Linked DNA regions of Drosophila melanogaster. The gene in region 3 interacts genetically with the main gene of each other region. Each region holds a gene or a part of one and is shown on either strand. Other genes may lie near its edges. The genes, in order: egr, rpr, Dronc and p53.

Evidence for each region.
Region 1: of Dronc (region 3) and egr, changing one suppresses a phenotype caused by changing the other (phenotypic suppression), as found in Drosophila melanogaster (3 studies listed by BioGRID).
Region 2: of Dronc (region 3) and rpr, changing one suppresses a phenotype caused by changing the other (phenotypic suppression), as found in Drosophila melanogaster (9 studies listed by BioGRID).
Region 4: of Dronc (region 3) and p53, changing one suppresses a phenotype caused by changing the other (phenotypic suppression), as found in Drosophila melanogaster (2 studies listed by BioGRID).

The regions. Positions count from the first base shown.
Region 1 is NT_033778.4:10,076,834-10,086,405, reverse strand, and holds egr (eiger), read right to left. Parts: upstream 8,041-9,572; 5' UTR 7,395-8,040; coding exon 7,224-7,394; intron 5,794-7,223; exon of another isoform or gene 5,712-5,793; intron 5,619-5,711; exon of another isoform or gene 5,482-5,618; intron 5,219-5,481; exon of another isoform or gene 5,081-5,218; intron 4,900-5,080; coding exon 4,774-4,899; intron 4,154-4,773; exon of another isoform or gene 4,084-4,153; intron 3,765-4,083; coding exon 3,439-3,764; intron 3,377-3,438; coding exon 3,272-3,376; intron 3,145-3,271; coding exon 3,080-3,144; intron 3,003-3,079; coding exon 2,913-3,002; intron 2,833-2,912; coding exon 2,468-2,832; 3' UTR 2,196-2,467; downstream 1-2,195. Other genes in the region: sut4 (sugar transporter 4), read left to right, coding at 1-777.
Region 2 is NT_037436.4:18,396,252-18,401,321, forward strand, and holds rpr (reaper), read right to left. Parts: upstream 2,185-5,070; 5' UTR 1,985-2,184; coding exon 1,787-1,984; 3' UTR 1,284-1,786; downstream 1-1,283. UniProt on the Drosophila melanogaster protein: Activator of apoptosis, as well as grim and hid, that acts on the effector Dredd.
Region 3 is NT_037436.4:9,966,069-9,972,747, reverse strand, and holds Dronc (death regulator Nedd2-like caspase), read right to left. Parts: upstream 4,270-6,679; 5' UTR 3,861-4,269; coding exon 3,414-3,860; intron 2,905-3,413; coding exon 1,999-2,904; 3' UTR 1,746-1,998; downstream 1-1,745. Other genes in the region: CG6674 (uncharacterized protein), read left to right, coding at 776-1,084, 1,146-1,538; CG6685 (uncharacterized protein), read left to right, coding at 4,454-4,643, 4,707-4,914, 4,968-5,061, 5,127-5,276. UniProt on the Drosophila melanogaster protein: Involved in the activation cascade of caspases responsible for apoptosis execution. Effector of steroid-mediated apoptosis during insect metamorphosis. Overexpression promotes programmed cell death.
Region 4 is NT_033777.3:23,048,539-23,057,504, reverse strand, and holds p53 (p53), read left to right. Parts: upstream 1-3,422; 5' UTR 3,423-3,496; coding exon 3,497-3,540; exon of another isoform or gene 3,541-3,599; coding exon 3,600-3,923; exon of another isoform or gene 3,924-4,110; coding exon of another isoform or gene 4,111-4,148; exon of another isoform or gene 4,149-4,305; coding exon 4,306-4,386; exon of another isoform or gene 4,387-4,456; coding exon 4,457-4,493; exon of another isoform or gene 4,494-4,556; coding exon 4,557-4,583; exon of another isoform or gene 4,584-4,589; intron 4,590-4,601; coding exon of another isoform or gene 4,602-5,816; intron 5,817-6,274; exon of another isoform or gene 6,275-6,285; coding exon of another isoform or gene 6,286-6,315; intron 6,316-6,380; coding exon 6,381-6,690; intron 6,691-6,754; coding exon 6,755-7,001; intron 7,002-7,063; coding exon 7,064-7,458; intron 7,459-7,517; coding exon 7,518-7,540; 3' UTR 7,541-7,848; downstream 7,849-8,966. Other genes in the region: Ctns (cystinosin), read left to right, coding at 1,252-1,306, 1,367-1,463, 1,534-1,716, 1,782-2,142, 2,329-2,617, 2,674-2,776, 2,877-2,982; Gr94a (gustatory receptor 94a), read right to left, coding at 4,602-5,816.

The DNA.
Region 1 (9,572 bases), on a different chromosome or scaffold from region 3:
ATTTTTCTGGCCCAAAAGGGAAAAGCCGAGAAGGCGGAGAAATCTCTTAAATTTCTGCGCGGAAAGGATGCGGATGTGAGCGGTGAGCTGAAGGAAATGAGCGCCGAGGGCCAAAAGGAGAAGGCTAGCGTTGGGAAAATCCTATGCCGCAGGATTACCCTCAAGGGGCTGTTCCTCTCCATCGGTCTCATGTTGTTCCAGCAGATGACGGGCATCAATGCGATTATTTTCTATTCTACATTCATCTTTGAGACGGCTGGATCGACCCTGGAGCCCAGAATATCTACAATTATTGTGGGCATTGTGCAGGCTATTGCCACTATCATTTCGATCCTGGTTATTGAGAAAGTCGGTCGGAAGATACTCCTATTGGTGTCCGCCTGCATGATGGGTATCAGCACCCTGATCATGGCTCTTTACTTTGGCATGTTGATGAAATCTGGAGTCGGCTGGCTGGCCCTAATTGCCGTTTGTGTTTTTATTATTGGATTCTCCCTGGGATTCGGTCCAGTTCCCTGGCTGATGATGGCCGAGCTCTTTGCCGAGGATGTAAAGGCCCTAGCAGGATCGATTGCCGGGACTACAAATTGGTGTTTTGCTTTTATCGTGACCCTTCTTTTCCCTGTTCTTAACGATATTATTGGAGCAACCGCGTGCTTTGCAATCTTCTTCGGATTTGCGGTGGCCGCCTTTGTCTTCATTCTCTTCCTAATTCCCGAGACAAAGGGAAAAACGCTTAACGAGATTCAGGCCAAGATGGGCGAGAAGGCCGAATAGTACTTGCAATCTTTTGATATCATCAGGGATTCAAGTCTATGGATCTCTGACCAAACTTTTGATAAATTTTCGTGGAATTGGAACTGAATATTTGTACCGTCAAATGCAATCAAATGCATTTAAATTTATGTCTTAACATTTTTCTACATGATGTTATTATGAATAAAATGCCACCTCTTGACATTTTAAGTGTTGTGCCGACTCACCATTTCGCGCAACGTATTCCTTGCAGATCCTTCAATCCAACTACTTGAACTACTTGGAAAGAGAAATCGACACACACTGCACTGAAATCAGAAACGAATTGCCAATTGCCAGGCTCTATATGCAAAATAGATGCGCTTTGACTTCGTATGCAATCGGAGGGTAAATAGCAAATAAGTCCAGGTAAATAGTAGAAAGCTTTCCGGCTGACAGGATGCCATTTCCCCAGCAATTTCGGGCCTGGTTGCGATTTCCCGACCAGTGCGCATGGCACACGGAACATCTGACGGGCGCTGCAGCTGGGGGTTATGTACACACGTTATGGCCAGGCCAAAAGCACAAACCAATTCCGGGAACGAACTGTTGCTCTCTCCCATCAGCAGGACCCCAATTCGAGCCACCTGTTACTCCGCCCGCCCGACAATCGGCGTGCATACGCCCCACAATCATATCCGGAGTTCCCCCTCCCAACCACTAGAAATTTGTCTTTGGCTGAAGATGGGAAAACAAAAATAAGTATTCAAAATGTATATATCATTTTGTCATTTTCAGGTATTTTAAGCTTGTCTTTAAATTTACGACATGAACAGGTCGTGTGACGTGTAGTCAAAAATGAATTGTTGTATCCATTCTCATTAATCCTTGCTAATTGTTGTCAAGGAGTATACACTAGAAAACACCAGGTACAACTAATTGATTATTTGATCAATCAAGCTTAGCATGAAAATGCCACCTCAACATTTTCTTGTACATGACGTCTGCAAGACTGATTTGGTCGTCTTACCGATGACTGTACTTTGGCCCCTCCTTCGTGTCCAATTGTCCGAATTCTCGGAACATGTGGGTAAAAAGATTTGAAGTTCGGACTTCCTTACTCTCCTGTGGTTTCCATGACTATGACGATGGCGATGCAGATGTTGCCCGGGACAGACGCTCGAGCTGCAATACAACTCCCGGTCCGGATATTATCCAGTTGCAAAGCAATTTCCCTGCCCTTTGACCAAATTCCATTCAAAATTTTTAATAAAGACCATAGTAAGCTGGAATTGCACAAATAAAGCTGAGGGATATCTTTGAATGGCTCTTCATTTGAGATTTGAATTGAAAGCATTTGAAGCATTTTGAATCGAATTATACTAAGAACGAATATTCATTATTTAGAAGATTATAATATTTTCAATTGCAACTGGTAGCAATTGATTCAATTGATGTTTCTTAAACACGCTTACACAAGCGGGTAATAGCTACATATATTTTTATTCACTTTTTAGAGTCGAACGAGTATATACAAAATAAATATGATTTTCCTCCGTCTTCTGACTAATGCAGTATGCACGATTCCGATTGAGATTAGGTTTGGAGTGACTAAGACTAGGTACTACGAACTAATGGATTCACGCTGGCGATGAATCGCATTCACGAGCAGTCGCGGGGACAAAAGCTTAAACTGGTATTCCATCTTCTGACCGGGGATAATCTCTCCAATTTACACCTTGAAGATGCCAAAGTAGCTTCGGTTGTTTCCCTCCCGCAGAACTGCATTGCGATCGTTGTGAATGTCCTTCAGATGGATCCTCTCGTTTCGTTCCAGGTGGATCAGACCACTCGTGTGGCAGGTGTGCACCTTATGTGGCATGTTGGTGGGCACCGTGTTCAAGCACTGCAGGAATGGAGTGTCTCCTTGAAAGACGATAAATCCGTTCTGGTCGTGCGAGTTGTTGTAGCATATCTGGGCGTATACGTAATATAGGCCTGTATTGGTCACCGTCAAGACGCCATCGCGCGTTTGAAAGTGTCCCTGATAAGAGTTTCTCTCGTTATCATTTCCTATGTACATATCTCCATGGTAGCCTGAGAAATTCAAGAAGTGACTTCATTAGGTTGCCTGTAGTACTTGTATGTACACGCTTGACGCGGAAGCATCTCCTTACCCATACTTCCTTGGTGACGCCGCCTGCTGCTCAAGTGGAAATGGGCTGCTGGCCTCGAGTCCTCGGATCTGGCTGAAAGAAGAGATTCACCTGCAAATTAACAGAGGTGCGAATAGAGATTTGGTATTCGATTTTTGCCAATTGTTTCGCTTTTCTACACTACACACCTTTGCGGACTAGGAGGTGGCGATGGCGGGAATGCATTCTGCGACGGTGGTGAAGTGGTGCAGGGCTTCAAGTAAAAAGAAAATGTATACATATGTGTTTCAGTTACGCAGTTAACTATCTATCTTTAACCCATAGCATATAACTTCATTAATGGTTTTTCTTGCCTGTTTTCAACGGAACGTTCTACTTACCTCTCTTTGGAAGTTGCCTCATTGGATGACTTTTCCTGAAGCTCTGTGTGATTTCCTTGAATATTCTGCTCCTCATTGCGTACATCGGCAATCGAGCGAGATTTTCTGTGAAGAGGAAAAGCAGAGGCTTAATACGATAAATCCCTGAAAATTTCATCCGTGCTCACCTCTCCTGCTTCTTTTTGTGGGCATTGTAGCTGGTAAAGTCATCGAACACATTGTCATCATTTGAGGCTGAGGATGCACTGTCCGTCTCGCCCTCGCCCTCAGCAGTGGTCTCAGATGTGGGCGTGGTGCCGGTATGTGCATTGTTGAGTTTATTTAACATATCGGTGTAGTCCTCGTAGTCTGCGCCAACATCATCCACAGAGCTATAGCTAACGTCGTCGTCCTCGTCGTCCGCAATGGAATCCAGACCATCGCCATCGTCGTCGTCCTCCTCATCCGTGAGGCCATCCACCTTTTTTGGATAGTCGATGAGGGCATTCTCGTACTGCAACGAAGGGATGGGCATCAGCATTTTGGGTCAGAAGACTTGGCCAAGTACGTGACTGCAGCTGGCACAGTCCTGGCACATATCTCACATCCATTTGGGACGTTCATTTTTAGACACACGCCCGCAGCACAGGCTGTTTCGTCATCATCCTAATTGATGGCGCCTCGCTCAAAAACATGATACTCGTATACATATACTTGTGTACATCATACATATATTTAAAAGCGAAGGAAACTCTCAAGAGAATTGGCACCACAGATGCCCAGCCATCAAAATATAAATAAATCTTAAAATCTTAAAACCATCTCTGGCCATTAGGCCATTTGATGAGATTCGATCAATCGTCACATACAGCCAAAAGCGATCGCTCGCCTTGAACGACTATATCTACTGATAGAGCCTAGTATTTTTGTTGAATTATTGGGGCTTTTACCTTTTGTCACTTGGGGATTTGTATCTCATAAATTACGTGAACTGGCTGGCGCCTCATATTTGAAATGAGTGTTTCCTTGCGGAAAGAGACATTATAATTCAAATAATCTATCACAATTTTCTATGTGCCTTTGGCCAAGCAGCTAACAAAAAAAAATGAAACAAATAACAGATGAAACAGCGTCGAAATTATATTTTAGCACATAATTCTATAAATATTTTTGTATGTCCCACACAATAACCACATATTACGTCTGGTCATTTTTTTGAGGCATTCTTTTTCAAAAACAGGCGCATGGCTTACCGACTGTGAGATACCCTAGCCAGAGTTTGCCATCATAAAATGCAAATTACCCTTTAGGCAAAAAGAAAACTAAACATAATAGATACTCAATAACAAAAGTTCGATATACCCTCATTAAAAACTCAAGTACCAGCCTCAAGGAATAACAATCATTTCCGACTTTGTAAACAATTCGAGGTATCTGTATTTGCCCGGGGCAAATGTTACAGCCCCTGCCCCATCGCCGAGTACAAATATTGATGCTCGAAAGTGATTTACGCAATTGCTCACCTCCTTTTGGAACTCGTCGAACTCGTCCAGATAGTTTATGCCCAAACGCTGCTGGAGATTATCGACGACTCGCTTCAGGCTCTTCAGCTCCTTGTCCAGATGCGATACACGCGTTGTCTGCCAGATCTGCAAGATAAGATAATTCAATTGTTACACACTCATTCAGGCTCGTTTCTAATCATCCGCTCATTAGCAATTGGGCAATCAATTTAACGTAGCCCCAATTAAACATCTATAGCTGGTGCTAAGGCCCGGCACATCATATAACACCCAGTGCCGCGAACTTTTGACACCCGAAAAATATATAAAAACTAACTGAACAAACTGATAGAGGCGAGACGAGAAAGATTTCGTGGGGAAATACGGCGGGGTACGTACGATCGCCACTCAGCCACATAATCTGCTTAATGGATCATTAACATTCGGGCCGAGCAGAGGCCTTATATACGGACACTTCTCAAGTCTCGACTGGCAGCCGAAATCGAAAAGAATGGCTCAACTTAAGCCACTGTACGCGCAGACGGGGAAATATACACATGTACATACATGTAGGTACACACAACAACTTGTACTGAATTCTTGTATAAATTATGGACTTTACGCAGACCCAAGAAACTTGTTTAAGTTTCCAGTGAACCACTTTCCATTAGAGCTTATCGGCGATCAGTAGATCGATCGCAGCGCCTGCAGTTTGTCACTTTCTTAGAGGGCCCCAAATGATGAGGGTTACTTTGTACGAATGTCAGTGAAATTGAATTAAACAACGAAAAATGCTTCATGGCTTAACGGAGATTTATGAGGAAAACCGAACTTGAGGCCCACGTCAGTGGCTGAAGCCAATCATTTACAAGTCAATTGTCAATTGTACGATTTCCGTTCACTTAAGCCAAAGTTGAGTGGGTCATGGAGGAGTCCTGGGTGAGGGGGGGGGAAATGGGGGTGGGAGAGAAGGACCAGATTCAAGTCCACAAACTTAATCTTCTGCAATTCAAATCCGGATTTCAGCGAGCACACTCATTCGCAAAGTTATCAGGGAAAAACATGACACAACAACCCAGTCGAAGATTTATCGAATGCATAACAGAACGGACTCAGTGGCATTTAAATCGGTTGAACAAAAACAAAAGGGAAGAACAGACATGTACCGATAAACATTTCTCTAGCATCTGCATCCGCTTTATTTGGATTAGCTGGATCATTAGGAACCGATTTGGCCTAAAGACGTGTCGGTGATGACATCGCTTGATCAGCCAAGAAACCGCCGTTTTTCCCGCTCTAAATATAGTTTCATGCCAAATTATAGTTAACCTATCTGCGACGGTCACGGATCATAAAGTCTGTTTTCATTTCAATTTATGCATCCGCGGAATTTCGTCTTTAATTTGGCATCAACAAAGACTTTGTGACAAACAGCTTTATAAGCCGAAGCGTGCCAAAGGTTAAATATTCATTTTTAGATTGCGATTTCGGGGGTGTCTATACACATACGTTGTTAAAGTCCAATTTGCATTTATATTTATTCGCATTTTATTTTGGCAAGCTACTGAAATAAACATTTCCGAAAAATAGGAGTCTGTTCAGAGTCTAGAAGGCGGTTCATGGCTGAATGGAATCTCTCTGTTTTTATGCTTTCATTACTTTATTGGTGCAATCTGTTTTCCAGATAAAACTAACTGTCGTTGTGATGGTTTTTGGAGAGATAACTAAGCAAAATTATAAATTAAACTACCAAAATAAAACACTAAAAACACAATAAAACACAAATTCTACAAAAGTCTAGTTTAAGAATCAGTGTAATACCTTTACACTCGTTTCGAAACAGTCATTAAAACGGCCATATAATCATGATTGGCCCACTTTGGCGCCCAAAATATCATTAAACAACATAGCCCATAACAACTCATTCCTATCTATATTCTGGGGAAACTCCCACCAATAACTGATATACCCACACCTTTGGAATTCCGACGAATCATTAATCGCACACAACAAACAAAAAAAAAGGCATTCAAGTATGGAATAGCTATTTCAATTTGGAGGTGACTACTTTAATCTTTTTCAAATTATATTCATTAACTAAATCTATTCAGCACATTTGACGATTTTAGTGTGCTAAAAAACATTAAAAACATAAAATGCGACTGAAGAGATTGTACGACGCTCAAACACACATAAAATATGTTATACTATTTATTTATTTGTAATTATTTCAATACTAAGTATGATTTGTGCCACCTTAATTAAACATCTTTAAGCATGGTTTGTTATCTTAAGTAGGCAGATAGAGACGCAATGTTATCAATTAATAGCATCTTAATGAAAATTTTGTAGTACGATTTCATTCAGTTCAGAGTCTAATTGGTGTGTTTAGAATCGCGATAGTCGATCCAAATGGGCAATAATACCTGATTGGGCTGCTATTGGGTAAATGATTGTGAAGGAAAACTTACCGTTAGTGCGAGAATGGCAACGACCAGCCCCAGACCGATGAACCCCAAAACCAGGGGGATCAGCTGGCGGGTGCGTCGCTGGGCGGTCGCCGTGCTGGTCGCTTTGGCCGGAAAACCATCATCGTTGGCACTCGTTGGCGTTATAAACGGCTTGAGGGTCTCGGCAGTCATAATTGATGAACACTGGGGATCTTAGAGCAACCGGGGCCTCCAGATGCTGATGCTGATTCTGTTGATAATGACGACGATGATGATGATGACGATCTTGCCCACCCACTCAAGGGCACTCGACAGCTGTTTCCAATCGAGCTTTGTCGCACTTTATATGAACACACTCTATGTATTTAAGATACTACACGAGCACACAGAACAACCTCACAGACAGCATGAGATGATAAGCTGCGACATCTATATAGATAAACCCCTCGGGCTGCTGATGGTGCCCTTTTCAGATTGTATTACCACACTTGTTTTGTCTACTGCTTGTTTTTCTCTTCCGCGATCGGCAATTAGCAAAAGAAAAGCGCGAAAACAAGTTTCTCAAGATATTTTCTAGTTTTATCAGTTCTTGTTTGCGATAAAGGCACAGCGAAAACCAAAAAAAAAAAAAAAAACACAACACACAGTGGACGAGTTGCACTTATGTATTTTTAGTAATTTGCCCGATGGCGAAATTCAATCTTGGTAAGTAGTTAACTGAAACGGATAGCTTTTTTTCTTCGCTATCATGCACGCACGCGCTTGCTTGGGATCTCTGATTTACCGGTTTCTTTTCTCACTTTAAACGTCCGTTCGCGTCGACGATTCGAAAGAGAATGAATTTGAACTGAGAACGGGAGCGTGAACTGAGGGAAAACGAACCGAGCGGCACTTGATTTCTCACGTTCGAGCAGGCAGGCGAGCAAGAGGGACAACGGATTGGCACCGTCTCCCTCGCTCACGTGGCGAGGATGCGCGGCATACTTAAGGGCGCCTGCGCTGTTTACTTTGTGTAATTAATTTTTGGCAAGGTTCTCCCGGGGTGGTGTTTTGGTGATACAGTGGGCTCTGGCTAACAGGAATTAAATTAATTATTATATTTCTACAATTTTACATGTACATATGTATATGTAGATACGATTTTTATTTATTATAACAAATTATTTGTATGAAACTCATAATCATGGTGTGCATAAGAAATATTTACAAAAATATGATTTATAATATGATATAACACTAAATAATAGTTCATATAGTCTAAAGTTGTTAACAATTTAACAATGTTATCATAATTTCAATATCAAATTGAAATGCTCAAATAACGAACTTTAATAACATTTATCAAAAGAGAAGAAAATAGTGTATCTAATTTAGAATATTGGATGCCATATTGAAGACCATCTCATCGTTGTTTTTAGCCAAGACAGACTGTACTTGGTTCCGATTTCCCTTGCACATATGGCGATCATAAGTAGCAAAGCGTGTTTGACTTTTTGCGCAGTGTTTTCCACTGCTTTTATTTCTTTTTATGTGTTATGTGCACTTAAAACCTCCCCCTGTGATTTATAGGGGTTGCTCGATTGCTTTTTGAAATCGGCACCACTGTAAGCGGCTTGGCTTCGCATCCCCGGGTTTTCGCTTCATTTTCTTTGTGTGGCTGCTTTGTTCGAGCTCCCTTCATGACACTGACATGGAACAGATCCCCGATCTTCGATTCCCGAGCCGCAGCTAATTGAGTTCCGAAAAGTGGCGGATCGTTGACAAACCCATAGATAAGCCAAATGAACTTTTAGCATTTCATTAAAATCGTATTTATTATTACTTAGACCGACGATCGGGGTCTGTCAGCGCCGTGCCTAAGTACGGGTTCTAATTACGGGTAGCGGGGTAGCCATAAACCTAATGCTGATCCGATCCGATCAGCCACCGTCGCGACAACTAGTCTGCCGAACCGGCTGCCAAACAGACCCGTATCGTAAATCCGCCCAAGAGTGTCGTCATTCGGCAGAGATGCAAATGTCGGCGTTGGTCAGCTAATTAGTTTCTAATCGTCTGCGACAAACAGGTAACCACAGGTAGAACTGCTCAGGCCGTAAGAGCGGGGATCGGATGGCACACGCTTCCGGTGCACTTCTTAACCCATTAGTCGTTATCTGTTTTCGCATTGTGCAAGACCACATTTTTATTTATAATTTTCAATGTTCGGAAATGGTAAATCAATGATTTAAAATTATATACATATACATATGTATGTACATTTGTATATACAATAGTTTTTGAAAAGCTTCTATTACTTTTTTGTGTTTTGTATCTTACTTTTTTGTATTACATCATTTGTTTTATATAAATTCAGTTGTGAAAAGCTTAATT
Region 2 (5,070 bases), 8.4 Mb from region 3:
CGAGCTTTGCCAACTTTTATTAACTTTTTTCGGGCAATCAAAGTGAATTGAACTGCAGGATGTGCAAGGATATGGCAGCTGCATAAGTGCAAAAGTTTAATTAAAAGTCCTGGCCGCGTTCGCGGAACACAGAGTCATATCCTTCGAGCTGATGACGAGACCCTCAAGAATTGCACATCGAATTTTTCCCTGCCATTTGGCGCTTGCCAAAATTAACTTAAAAATGCAAATTGTTTTGTTAGCACCTAATTTTTTGAAATTATAGAGGGGAAAAGATGTCAAGACTGCCGTAGGGGCAACTCCCCCGCCTGCTCTCTCTTGTTACAAAGTTTCTGCATCGAAAAATCTTGGCAAATATTTTTGTATTTCCTTTTTGCATAATTGAATTTTCTTTGTGTGTTTTCTTGCTGCCGTTTGTGTTGAACAATGTTGTCGGAGTGGCTGAAAAGTTTTTCTCAGAGTGGAAAAGTTGGACTAAAAGACTCATTCTCCCTTAACTTTGCACATTCCAAGAAATTGGGAATTCATTTTTTTATATTAAAAATAAAATATCTAATGGTAGAAGTGGTATTATTATATAGAATTATAATATTCATACATATCCTAATTCAATTGATGTGATTGATCTTAACAATATTCCAGTTTTTGGAGTTGATCTAGCCATGTCTAAATATACATATCGATAAGATATCGAAAACTAAAGAACAATGAAGTTTAAATAAATCTATTGTCTGGAAAGTGACTAATAAAAACGTGGTTTAACTTTCTACAACAAATAGTTTATATCAAAACTAAAAATAATGTGGTTAAGATTCTATTATATGTAATACCGATTTATAATTATATTCGTTCTACAATAATTCAAGAAATTAGCTTGCATTAATATTATTATAACTAAATTATTATTATTATTATAATTATTATTATTATTATTATTTCCGGCAATATCAATCTTAATATTTTATTAAGATATATTTCAAAGCGGACTCTGTCACCGAACGCCGGAAATCAAATGAAAAACTTTTTCAAAACAAAAAAAAATCTTTAACGTTTCCTAACCAAACACATGTAAAATAATTTTCACAACCACCGATAATTTCACTGATTATTAAACAGCCTTCTAGAAAGTTCCTTTTACCGTCGGCGAAATGAAATAAAAAATGTGCTTGTTCCAAACTCAGTTTTTCGAGACATCATCTTAGGCTTTCTTCGCTTTTTGTATCTAAATCTTATAAATGGTAATCTGAAAATATTTAAGTAAATGAAAAACCAACAATTTTTTTAGTTTTTGTTTTTGTTTTATTGACTTTTTGTTTGACAAAAAATTGATGCAATTTTTAGCCAACTTCGACTCATCTTCGTTTTTTTCTGGGGTTTCTTCTTAAAAAAAACTTAGAAAAACTCGTCTTACAAAAGAACTTACAAACTATTACAGTAGTAATTCATTTAAATAGGCTTTAAGAGTAAATTATTTCTAAAAAAGTTGATTTATATCATTGAAACATTTTTGTAAAAAATTGGGGACTTTATAAAAACGTTATTTTTTCAAATTTTTCCTCCGCTTTTTTGTAGAAACAAAACCATTATCACAATCGCTTTGATGAGTAAACTAAAATTGGGTGGGTGTTGTGGCTCTGTGTCCTTGACTGCAGTAGAAATCGAGTGCCGTCGGCTGATGAGTGGTGACTGTGTTTGGGTTTTGGGTTGGCTCATGCTTATTTCCTTTGTACTCTGGATTTTGGACTGGACTATTGGTTTTCCCCGTATTTGTTAGTTACTCGAATCCTCATTGCGATGGCTTGCGATATTTGCCGGACTTTCTTCCGGTCTTCGGATGACATGAAGTGTACTGGCGCAGGGTTTCCAGGACGACGGTGGCCAGGAATCTCCACTGTGACTCCCGCAAGCGAAGGATCTGCTGCTCCTTCTGCTCCGCCTCCCGCAACAGAGTCGCCTGATCGGGTATGTAGAATGCCACTGCCATTGTTGGTTTATCTTTCTTCTCGTTCGGAATTACACAACTGGTAGTGACTCAATAACTTTCTCTTCTGCACAATGAATATTTATCGAGTTAGTTCTTTGTTGCTGGCGCACACACTTTTCTTTCGTATTTTCGAGTTCGTTCACTTTGTTCTGGTGTCTCTCTTATTCAATGATTTTTTCGAGATGCGTTCGCTGCGATGGTTGCTTTTCAACTGAATATATTGAGTAGTGCTCCGAGGCTATTTATACCTGGTTCTCTCACGCCGCCTTGTTCTCTGTTTTTCTGGTGGTGGCTGCTCATTTTGGCCTTCTTCGCTCTTCGGCTCTCTGGCTGGGGTTTTTTTGTTTTGGTATTTCTGTTGACATCGTCTCATTCGCAGCTCCCAAAAAAGTACTACTTTTCATCGTGAGCGGGGGCGGGGCCACCTTGCGCCTGTTGCCAAGCGTGTTTTTGTATGAGGTTGTGTTGTTGTTGCCAGGTTGGTGGCAGCGCCTTTGTTGTAACTGTGTGCGGCGAGAAGTACAGTTAGCATATTAATTGTATTAAATCGTCGGGGCATGACAATCGTTTCTCATCAAGGAGTTCGACAGAGAAAGACATACAAGAGTTGCTTCACGACTAAAGTTTGGAATACCCTCTAAGATTAACATTATTTACACTAGCTACCCATTAGTGATTAGCAACTAAACTAAGCCGGATACCTGATAACAGCCAAGTACAACCATCTAGCCGGTTTCATATTAATCCTTCGAATTTCATTTCTTAAATATTAAAAATATTTATTTTCATCTATGTCAATCAGCAAAAAGTCCTTTTAGCTATTACCGCCAGTATATTTTCTATAATATGATTAAATTCTTGAATTGTAATTAATAAGAAAATTCCAACTAAAAATGATGGAAAAATAAAACCAATATTTTTTAGGTTGGACACATTGATGCTATTAATAGTACAACATTTAAAGTACAAACTATTTACATAATTAAGCAGAATAGCTTCTTGTAAGGGTATTATAACAAGTGGGAGGCGGATTCACTTGAAATATGGGCAAGTGGGCAAGGAAGAGTTCCGTTCCATTTCTTGAATTATTTTCTCTCTTTTCCATGGACCAGCCCACCTGCCATATCTAGATAGATCCCTCTTTATCAGTATCTCGCGCTCTACAAGTGTTTACACAATCATCCGAAGCTTCCGACTAAGAATTATGACAATGTCATAAATTAAAGGCCATATACAGTATATTGACAACAATGGGCTCGTCCCATTATATTTCGTGTGCAATTTTATTCATTTTCATTAGAGCGGAACCAGACGGATATGATATGATACGATATGAATGTTTTCGTTGGAAATCATACACGAAAATTTCCCTGCGGCTTAAAGTATTATTAATTGCCTTCCTGATGGATATGATATCCGAACAATGTATTCTTCCAACATATAGGAAGCTTATTGAAATTATCTTTAATAATATATATTCTGCATTATTATATATAGGTCGTTTACATTTTAAATCTCAACTGAAACTTTCTCTTTAATGACGTAAATACATATTTCATCATTTTTCATCGTATCTAAGTCGGATTACCCATAAACATACTATTGTTTTGTTCTTAATTTCGTTATGATGTTTAAATAAATTTCATATATATATGTAATAGAAAATTAGCTCTTGAAACTCCACCTGCATAATTCTAAAATCTTTTACCCCACCCAAAGAACCGCGATGAGTTTTAAGTTCCATTCAAACTCCACCCACAAAGCCGTAGTACCGTAATACCGTACCCACACACAGGCAAACAGCCGAATCTTACGACGTGCGTCTCAAGTGTTTCCACTGTGATAGAGAATAGCCATCACTTTGGGGGATGTTCTGCGTCATCGTCTATAGCGACCACCTCTCCACAGCTCTGATGTCTAGGTCTATTGTTGAAGGAACTACTCTACTTTCCTCGGCCGGGCGTGCTCGTTCTCTTTCTTTCACACTGCCGTCCTAGTCGCACAGCAGAACCATTCGACTCTATAGTTATTTTTTCATGAGTCTTTTCTTTCCGGGTTCGCGTCAACACACACATACAACATATATAAATCCGGGACAGTTGGGCGTGGCTTACGTTCTAACAGCGTTTTCTGCTCCAGCGGGCAAAAAGAGGAAGCCGAAAAATGGGCATTCCCTCTCTTTCGCACGTTTTGGGGGACGACCAATGTGGTTCAAGTTGGAAATTTATGTTTTGGGTCTGCTTTCGTTTTCTGGGGCGGAGTTTAGGTTGGGACCTTTTTTATGTAGCTGAATCATTGCCAAGAAGGGTGGAGCCAGAAAGGGCCTTAAGTTAACCGAAACATGGCTAACGTTATCCCTTAAATGTATGTCCTTCGCGGTAACCTGCGGTAATTTGCGCATCAGTCATAATTGAGGCTGTCGAATGTCAATTAGTTCGATGATTATCCTCTCAAGGCCTTTATCACAGACTTCATTCAGTTTTTCTTTCCTTAAGATTCTGATCTAAATCTCTAATTGCCCAATGAGGCGATATTTTCAAAGTAACAGATAGTTATCTACGATTTTGGGTACTTGTATTTTCTTAAGGGATAATGCGGGTAATTATTGTCATTTTTATTCAAATAATGCATGCCTCCGGTTGGGGTGCAACAGGCAAAGTCGAATCTCGACTTGTTTAATAACCCATATATCATTTGCATAGATAACTGCCTGACTTTCAATTTAACTTGTGTCTTGTGGCCTATTGAGTTTGTCAAATTGGATTATGTTTCTTCGATTGAGTTTTCAATCTACATGTTAAATGACCCACATGATACGATATTCATTCCTGGGAAGTGTGTCAATCGAATTTTCGATCTACCCGGAAGTTTGCCGATCCTGTTTCTGATTGGGATTCCAGAAATTCACTTTACATTTCATGAGGCATCCAACGTGATATTCCCAAATGAAAGCAAATTTTTAGCGATAATTTCATCAGTTTTTTTTTCTTACTCCTCTCCGCAGCTTGTGACGTGTCTCTGTCTTTGTCTGGGACTGCCTCAAATCGGTATGTCTTACATATCACACATTGTACGTACATATACAA
Region 3 (6,679 bases):
GTGGCCGTTATTCAACACTGAATGAAACCAGGGATACAATTTCTTGTGCTCTTTTTGTGGTAATAAGTGGGATATTTGCAAAAATTAACAAAAGCACAAATAAAAATATTGCAATCAAATATATTTATATTCTTCTGGCAATCTAAAACTTCTGCTTTTCTAGTTTTAACATTTATTTAAAAGACCCTGGCACAAGTGACTTTAGTTGCCACCAAAAACCACATGGGGTTAGAAGTTCCACTAAGCTGTCTGAAAGGCCTTTCAATAGAAGCTGTTCGATGAATCGTCCTTTGAGACAGGCACACTATACACATGGTCACGCCTTTGGGTTAGTTTTATTCAATATCCACCTGGCTGTTTAATTTATTTATATTCGCGAATGAGCACACTTCTTCCACACTAAGTTTATACACCGGCACCAGTCTGACCAGAGTTTGCGTGGGCCGAAATTCCAAGATATCTTAGTTTGCAGAGAATACCAATCATACTGCTACTATATTGAAATAGAATGGGATAAATTCAAATCTGTTAATTTACGTTTAAAAAGTATTTTAACCCTATGATGTCAGTTAACTCACATAGTATAGACTAATCCATAGAAAAGGAAATGGTTTAATAGCTGCCTTAATAGTCTAAAAATACTGCACGTTACTAAAATACTAGATGAAAATACAAAACGGTAACTGTGAAAACAGCTGATTTGCAGCAAACAAAGTTACCTCTGCAAACACAACGCATTTAAGCAAATGCCATTTGTGCAGTTTAACTAAGTAAAATGCAGGAATTTTCAGCCAAACGAGACGCTCTTTTCGCATGTCTCGACGATGCGAGCAAAGAGTTGCGGGGAACTGCCTTGGATCAGAGCAAGGCCAAGGCGTTTTCCATCAATGCCCTCGATCGAGGAAACAAATCCGGAAACGAATCCGGACAGGTGATGAACTACCGCCAGGGTCGCAGCATTGTTACTGGCCTCGATGCGGAGGATGGAAGACTGCGACGAATGCGCGGCAAGGAGAGCATTTTCAAGAAGCCCGAACTCCCCATTGGACGCTGTTTGAAGCCAAGAAAAACGCCAGATTACCAGGTGACAGACCATCCCTCTGCAATTAGTTGTCCCCACCCTAAACGTTTGACCTACTCTCTAGGTAAACCCGCACAAATGGAAGAAGTACTCCCTGTCTGATGTGGACATTTCCGAACAGAGCAACTCCGCCGCCGCCTTGTCCTTCCTGCGACAAATGGATGCACAGCGCGAGGCTGAGGGCGTCGATAACGAATCTCCACCTACAGATGGCAAGATCGAGTTCAAGAGGACCAGCAAACTCAGCCGCAAGCTCAAGAGCCTCAAACAGCAGGAGGTGGATGATGTGGAGCTGGATAAGCCGCAGTTAAGAGGTTCCAAGCTGGTGATGCCTGAGTATGTAATTGGCCAAAAGCCGCATAAGCCAAAGAAATGCAAAACCAAATCGGAACAGAGCCGTGCAGCGGGAAAACTACAACTGTCCCACTTGGCGGAGGAGGATGAGCAGGATGATTAGGTTAAAATGTATGATCCTAAGATTATATTATATAATAATTAGTGTCCCAATGAAATTTTAGAAATGTAAATAGATTTTAATTATATACAAACTGCGGTTTGTTGTGAAATATCATCGTTTATTTTGTAAGTGTACACACTCAAAAATCAGACTGGAAAATTGCTTTACATTTTGCCTAAATGTTCGATTTCAAAAATCTGGCTGTGTATATACTGGAACTCTGTATTATAATATTTGTAGATTTCTGGCAGTTATCACATAAATTACATAATTTCGTACCTTTAAATGAGGTATGCAATACGTATTAGAAGAATACTTGAATGAGTATTTGTTACAATATAAACATTTTATAGCACGCGAGCACAGAACACATAATCTAAAAGACATACTAAATGCGACGATAAGAACATAAATGCGGTTAAAAATGCATCCGGAATGATAAAATGTCCAGTGGCGGCAACTATTCGTTGAAAAACCCGGGATTGAAGTAGAGTTTCTTATTAAAGCCAAGATTATCATAGGCACCTGTCTGCATGGAACCCTTCTTGGTGCGCTTATTACCCACGGCTTCGCTCGTCTTCTTTAGGATATCCTCAAGGTCTGTGTCGTGGGCATGATCGGCCATCACTTGGCAAAACTTCTGGATGTACCAGCTGCCCGTGTCGAGATCGCGGTGGGTAACATAGCCCGGCGTATTAGCATAGCAGACCAGAGTGTCGGCAAGACTTGGCACATTGGTGCTCGGGCTGGGTATGCCCTCCGTCTGGGTGTCAGGCCACTTCTCCTCTTGCGCCGTATACACTGGCTCCATGAGATTGCCTTGATTCTTTGGATGGCCCAAATCATATTCATCGCCGCGGCAAAAGGGAAACATAAGCACCTTCGGCTTGTTCACCAAATAAGGACATTTGGCCGTCTGGAAATGGTCCTTGATCTTCTGCATATCGACCACAGATCCATCGCAAAACTCCACCTTCTCTTTTCCCTCCACACTGTTGCCGTGTGTCATCAGTACCATTACGAAACACTCGGTATTCTGCACATACGACGAGGAGGTCACCATTGTCAGAAGTTTAAAGAACTGATCCTGATTCACGTTCCCATAGGGGAAAATCGTAAAATTCAGTTCTTGAAACAAGTGTATCAACGACTTGCTGTCCTTTTCGGCTCCGATCCGTCGACGGTTTTGATCCGGATAGTCCATTATGTTAACCATTAGCAAAACGCCTCGGTTGAAACGTGATTGCATCTTATATGTGCCCAATATGGCACTATCCCCACCATGTATCTTTTTCGATTTTTTTACCTCGGGACCGTCAACGACACCCACATAAGGGGTGAGTGCTCCCAGCGGCTCATTCCGGAGCTTTGGTAGGAGAGAGAAAGAAAGAACAAATTACAATAAAGATAAGATTTTCAATATATATATTATATTTTCATTGCACGGTTAATGTGGCAGACAAAGAAGTAATCAACATTCGTGCTATATAAACACAGCTGCCAGCAATATTGCGATAAGATTCTGGTTAAAAACAAATCCTACTAAAAGAATAATTGGGATAGGTAAGTAGAATGGATGTGATTCATGCTTCCAAAAAAAATGGAAAACAAGAATCTCATACACGAACTAACTTCTGAAAGAGAAGCAAATAATACTGTGCACATGTACCAAAGTAGTATTCATCATTGAGTCCATTTACAATTCTTAAAGATACCTTTTCTAATCTCATTCCAATAGGAATAACTCAATTAACAAACCTAAAAAAAAAAATGCAAATAAATTGTGCCATAAACCGGTTTTTTGTAGAAATCAGGGTCAATGACCTGAGCTGCAATTTCACCATCAAAGCTTTCGTATGATTTTATTTTCATTACCTTGCTAACGCAGGGTCCTTCGGAGGCTTCGGGTGAGGGTGTGTCCACAATATCGGCCGACTTCCGGCTGGTTCTCCGTTCGTTTAGCGAGATAAAGGGTGGCCTTGAATCGGACTCATCGACGGATTCCAATAGAACGGCCGCATCCAGACAATTGATATTGCGCAGTGCATTGATCAGCAGGTTATAGGCGGTGGGACCACGCTGGGTGATCTTCAATAGGAGCCTACGATGCTGCTCCACACGCACATCCTTCTCGTCCATGTTGAATGGCTTGCCATTGAGATCCTGCGTATTTCTTAGCATCTGAACGGTTAGGATGCCCTGTTGCACGCACTCCATGGCCAGACGCTCGTAGTTCGTCCATTCAACCAGTATATTCAGATTCTTGCGTATATGCTCGCGATGCCTCTTCGGCATTCCAATCTCGAGCTCCGGCGGCTGCATTCCGGATATGGCTTCCACGCGTTCCGGTGACTCCGCTTATTGGGCGCGCCAAGGATGGCTGCCGTGATCAGTCTCCAATTGGCAGTGGTATTGGCAGTGAATCACCCGTCTCCAAGGTTTTCCCGGGAATGATTTCGTTTATCGCTACTTGTCGATTCTTTGTCTCCGCTTTGTTGTTGTCGTCGTTGTTTTTGTTTTGCGACTTTCAAGAAAGGGGCACAAATCGGCGGCCCTGCTGGTGTCCTTATTTTTCCAAAAGTAAATTAACTAGTCTATATATTGCACTAGATGATCCTAGCAAGGATCGGGGATCTTCGAATAGGATTTCTTTCGAAACAAAAGGACCAACGAGCGTTTCGCGCCGCCAAACTCGCCACTAAACTAATAAATGAAACTTTGGGATTGGTGTGGCTGCTTGTGGGTGCGCCATTTTAACCAGAGAACGCGTCCGGGATAAATCCATGACATGAACCGTCTCCATGTTCCACTTATTCCACCATTCCTTCATTGCCGCATCAAATGATTCAATTTAATACTAAATACCAAATACCATATGGGGTCAGCCTAACAAACCGTAAACATAAACAAAAGAAATGGAGGAGGAGCAACAATTTACGCCGGAACCGAAAAACTCCGCGCAAAAAGGCGCAGAAAAGCCTGCAAGGATTCCGAGAGAGGTGAAAGTTAAGCTGCAAAGGCAACTAAACAGACTGGGCTACTCACAGCAAATCCTGCTCGAAGCAGCCAAGCAGCAAAATCAAAATAATTCGAATGGCATTCTCCGTGAGTTTTCTTAAAACATGCATAATGCAATAAAAGTACATTGTCCCCCAATCCCTTTTCTAGAGTATGTGGCCGACATGATTGGCAAGGGCGAGGAAATGGTGAAAAACTGCGACTCCGTTAGCTTAAACAACATTAACCAGTGGCTGGAGCTCATGAAAAGTTCGCAACTCGCTGAACTCTGCGAATTCGAAGCAGCCGTCGTTGTGAACTCCATAATCCAAAATGAGACAAAGCCATCGCCAACGGAACTGAACGGCATTGACTTGAAGTAGGAATGGTTTTGATAAACTACATTTGTATTTAGCATTGTGGTACTTTCAGTGAGGCCTACAAGTTTCTGGAAAACGCTTTGATGGGCCAGCCGCAAAAGAAGATGAGCGATGCGACCAAAGAATTTTTGTCCAAGGAAATTGAGGTGAGCAGAAGGCTGCATCAACTTTCCAAAATAGTTAAAAAAAAAGGAAATCCTAATGCCAACAGCTGCTCATAGAGAAGGCAAACACCGACGAATCCGACGATGTGGCACGCAGCATGGGGCAGCGTTTATTTGACCACCAGTTTTTGGATTACATGGAACAGCGGCAAAAGTGCAGTTTGGATCCACTATTCCTGGACGAGAAGCTAACGTAGAGGCTGTTATTGAGTAATTGAGGAATTTAGCACACAGAGCATTTATTCATTTCCACACATTTATTAAACATTTAAATTCAATTGTTTGTTACATACGTACATTGTCACACGCATTTGCACCGCTCCATTATCATCAATCAAATCATCGGATCCCACGTTTATACATTATTAGTATTACTATGCCAAATGCCCCAACCTTTGTACGTATTAATATTTGATAATTACACTCTTAATTAAGTACTTGACTATAAACAGTTTTAGCACATTTAAAATCTAGAATTCCTTTAGTTGTACACAATTACTTCGAGTAGTGTAAGAAAAAGTTGTGGGTCTTTGGCCTTTGGATTCTCTCAATTGCATAACATTTATTGTGCATGATTGTTTTCAATTGTTGGGGCTGCCAATTAGCATTGCATAGACTAGTGTAGAGATAGGTAGTTTAGTTTTAGGTTTTGCTACGATTAGCTTTGTTTTAAACTTTAAGAGGCATAAAAACAGTTGAGTGCTGCTTGACTCCCATAGCATCACAATAGAATCACAAGAGACAGAGTTGGCTTCATTTCAATTCAATTCATTAGAGGATCTAGGATGGTACACTTACGATAACATAACGTACATACGATCAGAATTACATACAAATTCGAATACAAATATAATACCCTTTTGTTTTAGGCGCAGTTACTAGCACTAAAACGATCTTCACACAATCAAATGCAATTCAATAATGTACATAATATAACTCTTAAATGTTCAGTCCAGTTTGAGCTTTTGGTTTTCCCCTTTTTCTTTGATTTAGATTTTGTTTTTAATTTTTTCATTTTTAAATTTTTTTTTTTGTTTCTTGTGTTTAGGTTTCTGTCTTGTCGCGTAAACATTAATTAAAATTAAGTAAATCTAATTATATATACGTACGATTAAACGCTAGTAAACCATATCGATATGCTTGTCTAAGGTGAAATAAATAAACAACAAATTCGGACCGAACAAAATGCAAAGCAATTTCAGGTGCATGGCAAGGATATGCTGGAGTTTCAGGATCAAATTAGCTGGCATTAACCAAACGCAGATCCAACGAATCGAACAAACACAACGAACGACAACAACGTAACTTAAAATTGCAATTGTTTGTTAGTTGATAGTTGATATAGAATTAGTTTTAGTGTCGCTTGAATTTTGATTGTCCCGTTCCCGTTCGTGTAATTCATACTTTTATTCATATCATTCGAGTATGTGTATATAAAGTAGAGTGGTTTTTAATGTGTCCTAGATAGAGTTCGTCCTGCTGCTGCTGCTGCGTTTTGTATACATATATAAATTCATATTTTTTTTCGGGTTTCACTTCTACTCCGCTAAACATAGCACAACAATAATGATAATAATCGCTTTAATTGCCGTTTACGTAA
Region 4 (8,966 bases), on a different chromosome or scaffold from region 3:
TCCATTCCACTTGTAGCCATCGGCAGTCGCTCAATCGTCAGTTGGGACACATTATTTAACTTCATTCTTAACGTGAGTGAATTGATGTGTTGGGTGGCGATCATGCATATAGCATAGGCAAACAACTGTTCTAATCCGCATTATCTTAATCACAATAATCCGGCGGCTTATACAGATGTTTTGCGTTAGCAGTTGGCGGCTAAAAGCCTCTGCTTGCCCACATGCCAGTGAAAGTTCTAATCCGGCTCAAACAGACGCACAACAAGCGTATCTCGTGCGTGGAATCATGAATGAATAAATGGGTGTTACTGTTAACTAACAATGGACCTTTTTACCAATCAATCGTCTTATCTATCACCAGAATTGAAACAGAATTAGTGAATAACTTATGGTGCATATCAGTTGAAACATGAAGATTCGTGTGAACGATCGTGAAAGATATGGTGTTCGAACTTTAAATTACCCTTGTAGTTTACCACTCTCATTAGTTTTGATTTATGTAGAACCAAAATTTGGATCGTGACTTGCGATTAGTATTGCAATCGCAGTGCATTGCCCAATCTATTGATTATCTGCAACTTGTGGCAGACTGCCGCAATAATTCGACGGACACTATCAGCTAGCTCCATTGATTGAGATAAGCCCGTTCTCACGCGGTGTTTTACACTTCTTGGCAATCGCCAAGTCACGGCCCTCGCCATATAAAAAATATAGTATGAACAATCGGGAATCTTTTGGTTTTACGATCGACCGACAAAGCCCATGTATTTCCTGTTACGTCCATTTGGGCCATATAGGCACATAAAATGGGTGCTCCAACGCTTGCCGTGGGAAAGTGTGCTCCAATTGCAAAGTTGTAACATTGAGCGACATTTGATGAAGGTTACCGACTTTTATCTCGACAAAAACACACACGAATTCCAGATGAAGCGAGCGTGCGTAGTTTGCACTGCAAGTTTTTTTTTTGGAACAAATAGTTTTATGTTTATATCATTTTATATCATATTATATTCCTTATTGATTGAGTGTCTGCACGGGTCATTAAATTAAGAAGCAAAAAAAAAAAAGGTGTCAGGAATTGCATTCCATACTCCTACGAGTAGATATCAATTTCACCCGATCGTGGTCAATTGGTCAATTGAAGTAATTCACAATTGAATCAATACAATACCATATAGGGCTTCATTGAAGAAGATGCCAGCAGGACTGGATGCTCATGCATGAATAAGTTGAACGTTGAACGCAAGCAGAATGGATTTCAGCACACACCGCCTGACCACTTTGCTGCTCCTCCTCCTGGCCACAGGTGAGATATCGCAATCCAGATATTGCGATCTAATAATGAGGGAATTTCTCCTGCCCACAGTTGCCCTGGGAAATGCCCAAAGCAGTCAGCTCACCGTCGATTCCCATGACATCACCGTTCTGCTGAACAGCAACGAGACTTTTCTGGTGTTCGCCAAGTGAGTTGCCATTGCCGGGAAATCCAAATCCAAAACATATGGCATCGTAAATCTATTGTGCCCATTACAGCGGATTGCTAGACAGCGACGTGGAAGTTGCGCTGGGAACAGATTCGGAGGATCATTTGCTCCTCGATCCCGCAACGTTTGTGTATCCAGCGGGCAGTACTCGAAATCAGTCGGTGGTGATAACTGGCCTCAAAGCCGGCAACGTCAAAGTGGTCGCAGATAGCGATGATGCGAACAAAGAGATGTGAGTAACTTCACGGGAATCCCAACTGTTCCCGTACCTAATTGGAAAATTCACTTATTTTCCAGTGTGAAGGATGTGTTCGTACGCGTGACTGTGGCCAAATCGAGAGCTTTGATCTACACCTCCATCATCTTTGGCTGGGTTTACTTTGTGGCCTGGTCGGTGTCCTTCTATCCGCAGATCTGGAGCAACTATCGCCGCAAGTCCGTCGAGGGACTGAACTTTGATTTCCTGGCCCTCAATATCGTGGGCTTCACCCTGTACAGCATGTTCAACTGCGGCCTCTATTTCATCGAGGATCTGCAGAACGAGTACGAGGTGCGATATCCGCTGGGAGTGAATCCTGTGATGCTCAACGACGTGGTCTTCTCACTGCATGCCATGTTCGCCACCTGCATTACGATCCTTCAGTGCTTTTTCTATCAGGTAATAATATATATAGCAAATACCATTCAATAGCCTTATCGCCGAAGTGGCAACAGTTGTCGCATTGAACACTAATTGCCATCAATCAAAATGCCAAATCATTTGAATCACAGCGGATAGTTACGATATGAAGAGTAGATAAGGTTTTGACTTGTAAAACATCCATACTTTGTTAAATTTGTCCAGAGAGCACAGCAAAGGGTGTCGTTCATTGCCTACGGAATATTGGCCATCTTCGCCGTGGTGGTCGTCGTGTCTGCCGGTTTGGCCGGAGGATCCGTCATCCATTGGCTGGACTTTCTGTACTACTGCAGTTACGTCAAGCTAACCATTACCATCATCAAGTACGTGCCGCAAGCTCTGATGAACTATCGCCGGAAGAGCACCTCCGGCTGGAGCATCGGCAACATTCTGCTGGATTTCACGGGAGGAACGCTGAGCATGCTGCAAATGATTCTGAATGCTCATAATTACGGTAGGATATAGTCTATCAATTTGTGATTTTCGAATGAAATCGTGTCTGGTTTCCAGATGATTGGGTGTCGATTTTCGGTGATCCCACCAAATTCGGACTGGGTCTGTTTTCCGTGCTCTTCGATGTGTTCTTCATGCTGCAGCACTATGTGTTTTACAGGTGATTGAAACATTGTGTGAATATGATACTTAATCTACGATTATGTCATCTCCACTGTACACTTATCATTATTGCTGTGCTGTTTTCCATTTCTCCCCAGGCATTCGAGGGAATCCTCGAGCTCTGACCTCACCACCGTGACCGATGTTCAAAATCGAACAAATGAGTCGCCGCCGCCGAGCGAAGTGACGACTGAGAAATATTAGAGCTGCATTATCATATGTCTGCTGTAGAGAAAGACTTTTGTGCCAGTAGCGCTTTATGTACATTTTTAGAATTGTAAATATATCCGTATGCCGTAGCTGCCTAAGCTTTGTATAATTCGTGCGTTTTAATTGAAATTTAGTTTGACTAAAATTTGGAATTTCACCATTAAATAAAACTTAATTTTTTGTAGGAGCCAGAAATCATACGGTACATTGCTCGACCATTCAAAGGGCTGTGCAGTGAAACCAATTTGCTGCATACGGCGCGTTATTTGCAAACTAATAAATAGATTGAAGTATTGAAAAAATTTCAAAACAGAAATTCTAACTTGCCGCACAATGGGCAGCACTGTTCGCACTCGGCCAAATCCTTATCGATAGCTTATCGATAGCCATGGATATATGACATTAAGTTAGCCAATTTCCGGTTAGTTGACATCCCTGGAGCACGGAAGATTCTTGCGGACACAAATCGCAACTGCTAAATAAAATTTATTTATTTGAGTGCACAGCCATGAGTCTTCACAAGTCCGCGTCGTTTAGCTTGACTTTTAACCAGTGAGCGGAGATATTTTATTCGGTCTTACCCAACAAAATAATGTTGCGCCTTTTTGCAGAAACACTTCGATTGTTTCGCGTAGCAATAGTCGCACAATTTTTGAAGCTTTCAAGGAGTTCCTGGATTTTTGGGATATCGGCAACGAAGTTTCTGCAGAGTCAGCAGTTCGGGTCTCCAGCAACGGAGCTTTCAACTTGCCGCAGAGTTTTGGCAACGAATCCAACGAATATGCCCACCTGGCTACGCCTGTGGATCCAGCCTACGGAGGCAACAACACGAACAACATGATGCAGTTCACGAACAATCTGGAAATTTTGGCCAACAATAATTCCGATGGCAATAACAAAATTAATGCATGCAACAAATTCGTCTGCCACAAGGGGTGAGCAAATTCAAAACACGCGCTCCAATCGATAAACATTGGCTACGGCGATTGTTCGCGCTGCGTGGCGAATGGCAAAATCCAAATAGTCGGTGGCCACTACGATTCTGTAGTTTTTTGTTAGCGAATTTTTAATATTTAGCCTCCTTCCCCAACAAGATCGCTTGATCAGATATAGCCGACTAAGATGTATATATCACAGCCAATGTCGTGGCACAAAGAAAGGTACAGTGCGGCAACAAATTGATGATCGAACAGTAGAAACCTTGCATGTAGCAACACGCTTGTACTTGCATCATTCGCGCGGCCAACTTGTTTGTGTTTGTTTATCCAGCCAAGGCGCAGTTTGCCACTAAGTTTTTATTTCCCTTTTACACTTTAGCACTGATTCCGAGGATGACTCCACGGAGGTCGATATCAAGGAGGATATTCCGAAAACGGTGGAGGTATCGGGATCGGAATTGTGAGTACCTGGTCACGTGGTCACATGTGGTTTGCCTGGTTGCTAACTATTATTGTTTTTATTATTCCAGGACCACGGAACCCATGGCCTTCTTGCAGGGATTAAACGTGAGTTGTGCTTTTAATGTGCAAAGCTATAGCTTACTAACTATTTAATATTATTCCCCGCAGTCCGGGAATCTGATGCAGTTCAGCCAGGTGGGTAACATCGATTAGCTATTGCATCTTGAAGCGCTGGGACAGATCGGCCTGCACGAGGATCAGCAGGAAGCTGGCCACCGCCGAGAAGACATTGCTGATCAGTCGCATGTCCAGCTCGTACAAGCCCAAGGGTTTAATTTGGTACTTGGTCACCGTGACCAGCAGAGTAAAGCCGTGGACTGCCTGACGGTAGCGGCTGTCCGCATGCTGGAGATTCATCTCCTGGAGAATGACTGCCGATCTTCGGGTGGCCACCAATAGGTGGTTGCACAAATGCGTGAGCAATGTGATCTCCGCCAGCGAGATGGAGAGGAAAACCAGATTGATCAGCGATCCAAGACCATCGTACGGCTTGCCCATGATTAAGGTGTCCGCTATGGCATAGTACAGACTGTAGAAACCCACCGTTATTCCGAGCAGGTGGCATATGAGCGACAGAATCATGGACAAGGACATTGGGGTCAGATACTTTCCCGAATGCACATATATCAACCTATAGCGATACGCCAGCTGGTCGAGTTCATCCGCCAAGGCGCAAAATCGCTGCATGCGGTAGTATTTAGTGTACAACTTTAGCTGGTCCTTCCTCTGCAGCAGATTCACCTCCTGCAGCTGCGCTTCCAGCCGTCTGTTCAGAGCGTACAGAATCTCCTTCACCACCACCATTGCGCCAAAGTAGCAGTTATTGAGAAAATTCGAAATAATTAAGGGAAACAGCCGGTACAAGGTCCAGATCAAGCTCATCTCGGGATGCTGCCGCCTCTGTTGCAGTATGAAAGCCACTTCAATTGTTAGAGGAAAAGCCACGGTCTTGACCAGAGCCAAAACGATGGATATGTACAGCGACCTGCTGTCCAGACGGAATTCTTTTAGGGTATCAAAGAAGGGCACTTTGCTCAACACCTTGGCCACATGGTCACTGATTATCATTTGCGACACATAGTTAATAACAGCCACCGTAATGTTCATATAGCTGTACAGAGTGGTGGCGTCCTTCAGGTTGATCTGACCCTCCTGGTACTCCTTGTAGATTTGCCGCCCGTAAACCAAGCTGAATGCAATTGCCCACAGCGAAGCAAAGGCCAGATTTGCCTTTGAGAAGCGGAATCTTTCACGACGGCCCGCCCGATATCGATTGGCCAGGAGTCCGAAGACGGTCATAAAGCCTATCAGTATGATCGTCAGAAATTTCACCATACGCCGATGCGCGTAGTCGCTGGTGAAGTCCATTTCTCTCGAACAATTAATACAAACTGTGAGCGCACTTTCCACAGCATTAATATCTGCTTAATTGTTTTCCAACTACCCAACTGATGCCATCTAGAGGACCTGTCAAGTAGCCGGACACTATCGGGACACATCGCGAAACGCATGTATTTCACCGGCCGTCCAGAAACCAACTGAGCATGCGTTGTGCTACTACTAGCCACAAACAAAAGAGCATAAGAAGCGTGAGGGAAGCGGCATTCCTTGCGTGACTCAGCCGCTGCCTGCAATTTCATAAGAGCGACATGACGTCAAAGTCGCTTCGAAGTTCACTTTCAGTTGGAGGACAGAACAAAACACTCTTATCTAGCCGATTAGCACGGTGCACTCCTTCCCGTCGTCATCGTTTAGCGAGAATTTCAAGCACTTGTGAAAAATAGAATAGAATACAAAACAAATCGCCAGTCCATTTGTAACTCGAGCAAGCTGGAACATGAAGCTCTATCAGCTCTATGAGCGCAAAGTGTGAACCCTTATATGATTGCGAGTTAAGTTGACATTCAAATAATATCTTGTTTTTGCTTACAGCAATCCGTGCTGCGCGAAATGATGCTGCAGGACATTCAGATCCAGGCGAACACGCTGCCCAAGCTAGAGAATCACAACATCGGTGGTTATTGCTTCAGCATGGTTCTGGATGAGCCGCCCAAGTCTCTTTGGATGTACTCGATTCCGCTGAACAAGCTCTACATCCGGATGAACAAGGCCTTCAACGTGGACGTTCAGTTCAAGTCTAAAATGCCCATCCAACCACTTAATTTGCGTGTGTTCCTTTGCTTCTCCAATGATGTGAGTGCTCCCGTGGTCCGCTGTCAAAATCACCTTAGCGTTGAGCCTTGTAAGTGAAGATAACAATACAGATCGAACAGGATTATTTAACTATCATTTGTACAAACCTTTAGTGACGGCCAATAACGCAAAAATGCGCGAGAGCTTGCTGCGCAGCGAGAATCCCAACAGTGTATATTGTGGAAATGCTCAGGGCAAGGGAATTTCCGAGCGTTTTTCCGTTGTAGTCCCCCTGAACATGAGCCGGTCTGTAACCCGCAGTGGGCTCACGCGCCAGACCCTGGCCTTCAAGTTCGTCTGCCAAAACTCGTGTATCGGGCGAAAAGAAACTTCCTTAGTCTTCTGCCTGGAGAAAGCATGGTAAGGTGACAGCAAAACTCTAGATGGCTAGAACAAAGCTTAACGTGTTTTCTTTCTTGCAGCGGCGATATCGTGGGACAGCATGTTATACATGTTAAAATATGTACGTGCCCCAAGCGGGATCGCATCCAAGACGAACGCCAGCTCAATAGCAAGAAGCGCAAGTCCGTGCCGGAAGCCGCCGAAGAAGATGAGCCGTCCAAGGTGCGTCGGTGCATTGCTATAAAGACGGAGGACACGGAGAGCAATGATAGCCGAGACTGCGACGACTCCGCCGCAGAGTGGAACGTGTCGCGGACACCGGATGGCGATTACCGTCTGGCTATTACGTGCCCCAATAAGGAATGGCTGCTGCAGAGCATCGAGGGCATGATTAAGGAGGCGGCGGCTGAAGTCCTGCGCAATCCCAACCAAGAGAATCTACGTCGCCATGCCAACAAATTGCTGAGCCTTAAGAGTAAGCAGTGAATCGGAGGACAAAGAGATTAAGCTTTACTTACCGAACTTTCCTTTCAGAACGTGCCTACGAGCTGCCATGACTTCTGATCTGGTCGACAATCTCCCAGGTATCAGATACCTTTGAAATGTGTTGCATCTGTGGGGTATACTACATAGCTATTAGTATCTTAAGTTTGTATTAGTCCTTGTTCGTAAGGCGTTTAACGGTGATATTCCCCTTTTGGCATGTTCGATGGCCGAAAAGAAAACATTTTTATATTTTTGATAGTATACTGTTGTTAACTGCAGTTCTATGTGACTACGTAACTTTTGTCTACCACAACAAACATACTCTGTACAAAAAAGCCAAAAGTGAATTTATTAAAGAGTTGTCATATTTTGCAAACATATCCTCGTGGTGTACGCCAATGCCCAGAGCCTACTGTACCCCCACCGTGGAGCACATGCTATGTGACATGTGTGGCTTGTGTGCGGTCAATGCACTCAGGATGCAACTCAGCTAGCTAGCTGCTAATATGTCAAAATTGCTGCGTCGCATTTACATACTTTATTTATACCCGTATCTGCACGTCTTTGGTTTTAGTTCTATGCTTTCAAAAAAAAAAAAACAACCTCAAGCAGGGCGCATGCGTTGCGCCAGCGTTGCACATGTGCGAGGATGCAAAAAAGTGCAACAAACACCAGATGTTGACACTGTGCCGCTGCAGCTGCAGGCGACTTTAGCTTTTGCCACATGCGGCAGCTAAATGTTTACTCTAGCCCACCGATCGCTGTTCATTGACCTAGGGCAGGGGCATTAAGTGCGCCCTAATCGTAACGGAATGATAGCCTCTGTGTCCAAAAATTCAGCCAAAGCGGATGCACTCACTTCCATTTGGGGCCTGTCCTTCTTCGACCGGCTGCCACTTCCACTACCAGTTTGGCACCACGAAAATGGGTCGTTCAAAGTGCTCAAAACCCAGCGGAGCAACTCACTCAATTCTCGTTGGACGAGCGCACAGAAAAGTGGTTTTGGATACGAGTTGAGTTCGAGAGACCTTTCTGCACTGGGAACATACATGCGGCTTTGTGTAACAGAATAATAAAGTACGCAAACATATCTGTAATACTTAAAGCACAAAGAACAAATATAAATGTATCATAATTTGTTTAATTATTTATTCGAGGTTTCCAAACAAGTCATTCTGATAACAAAAGTTGTAAAAATAAAATCCACTAAAATTAAATATCACCCACTTCTCAGAATAAGCACAGCTGTATATACTTCAGTATATATTTTTTTCAGTGCACTTTTCCCAAGCGATGCAATCGCCTTAGAAGCCCAATTAAATACGTTTCTTTGATTGGCGGGTGCCAAAAGGTTGACAATTCGAAAGTGGCGCACACTGGGAGGCAGTGACTCATAATTTACATAATTATTTCGGGAAGATATTAAGACTCATACTATATTCAAGCAGTTGTTTATCATTTTAAACTGGCAGATACCCCATCTTTACGGACCAGATA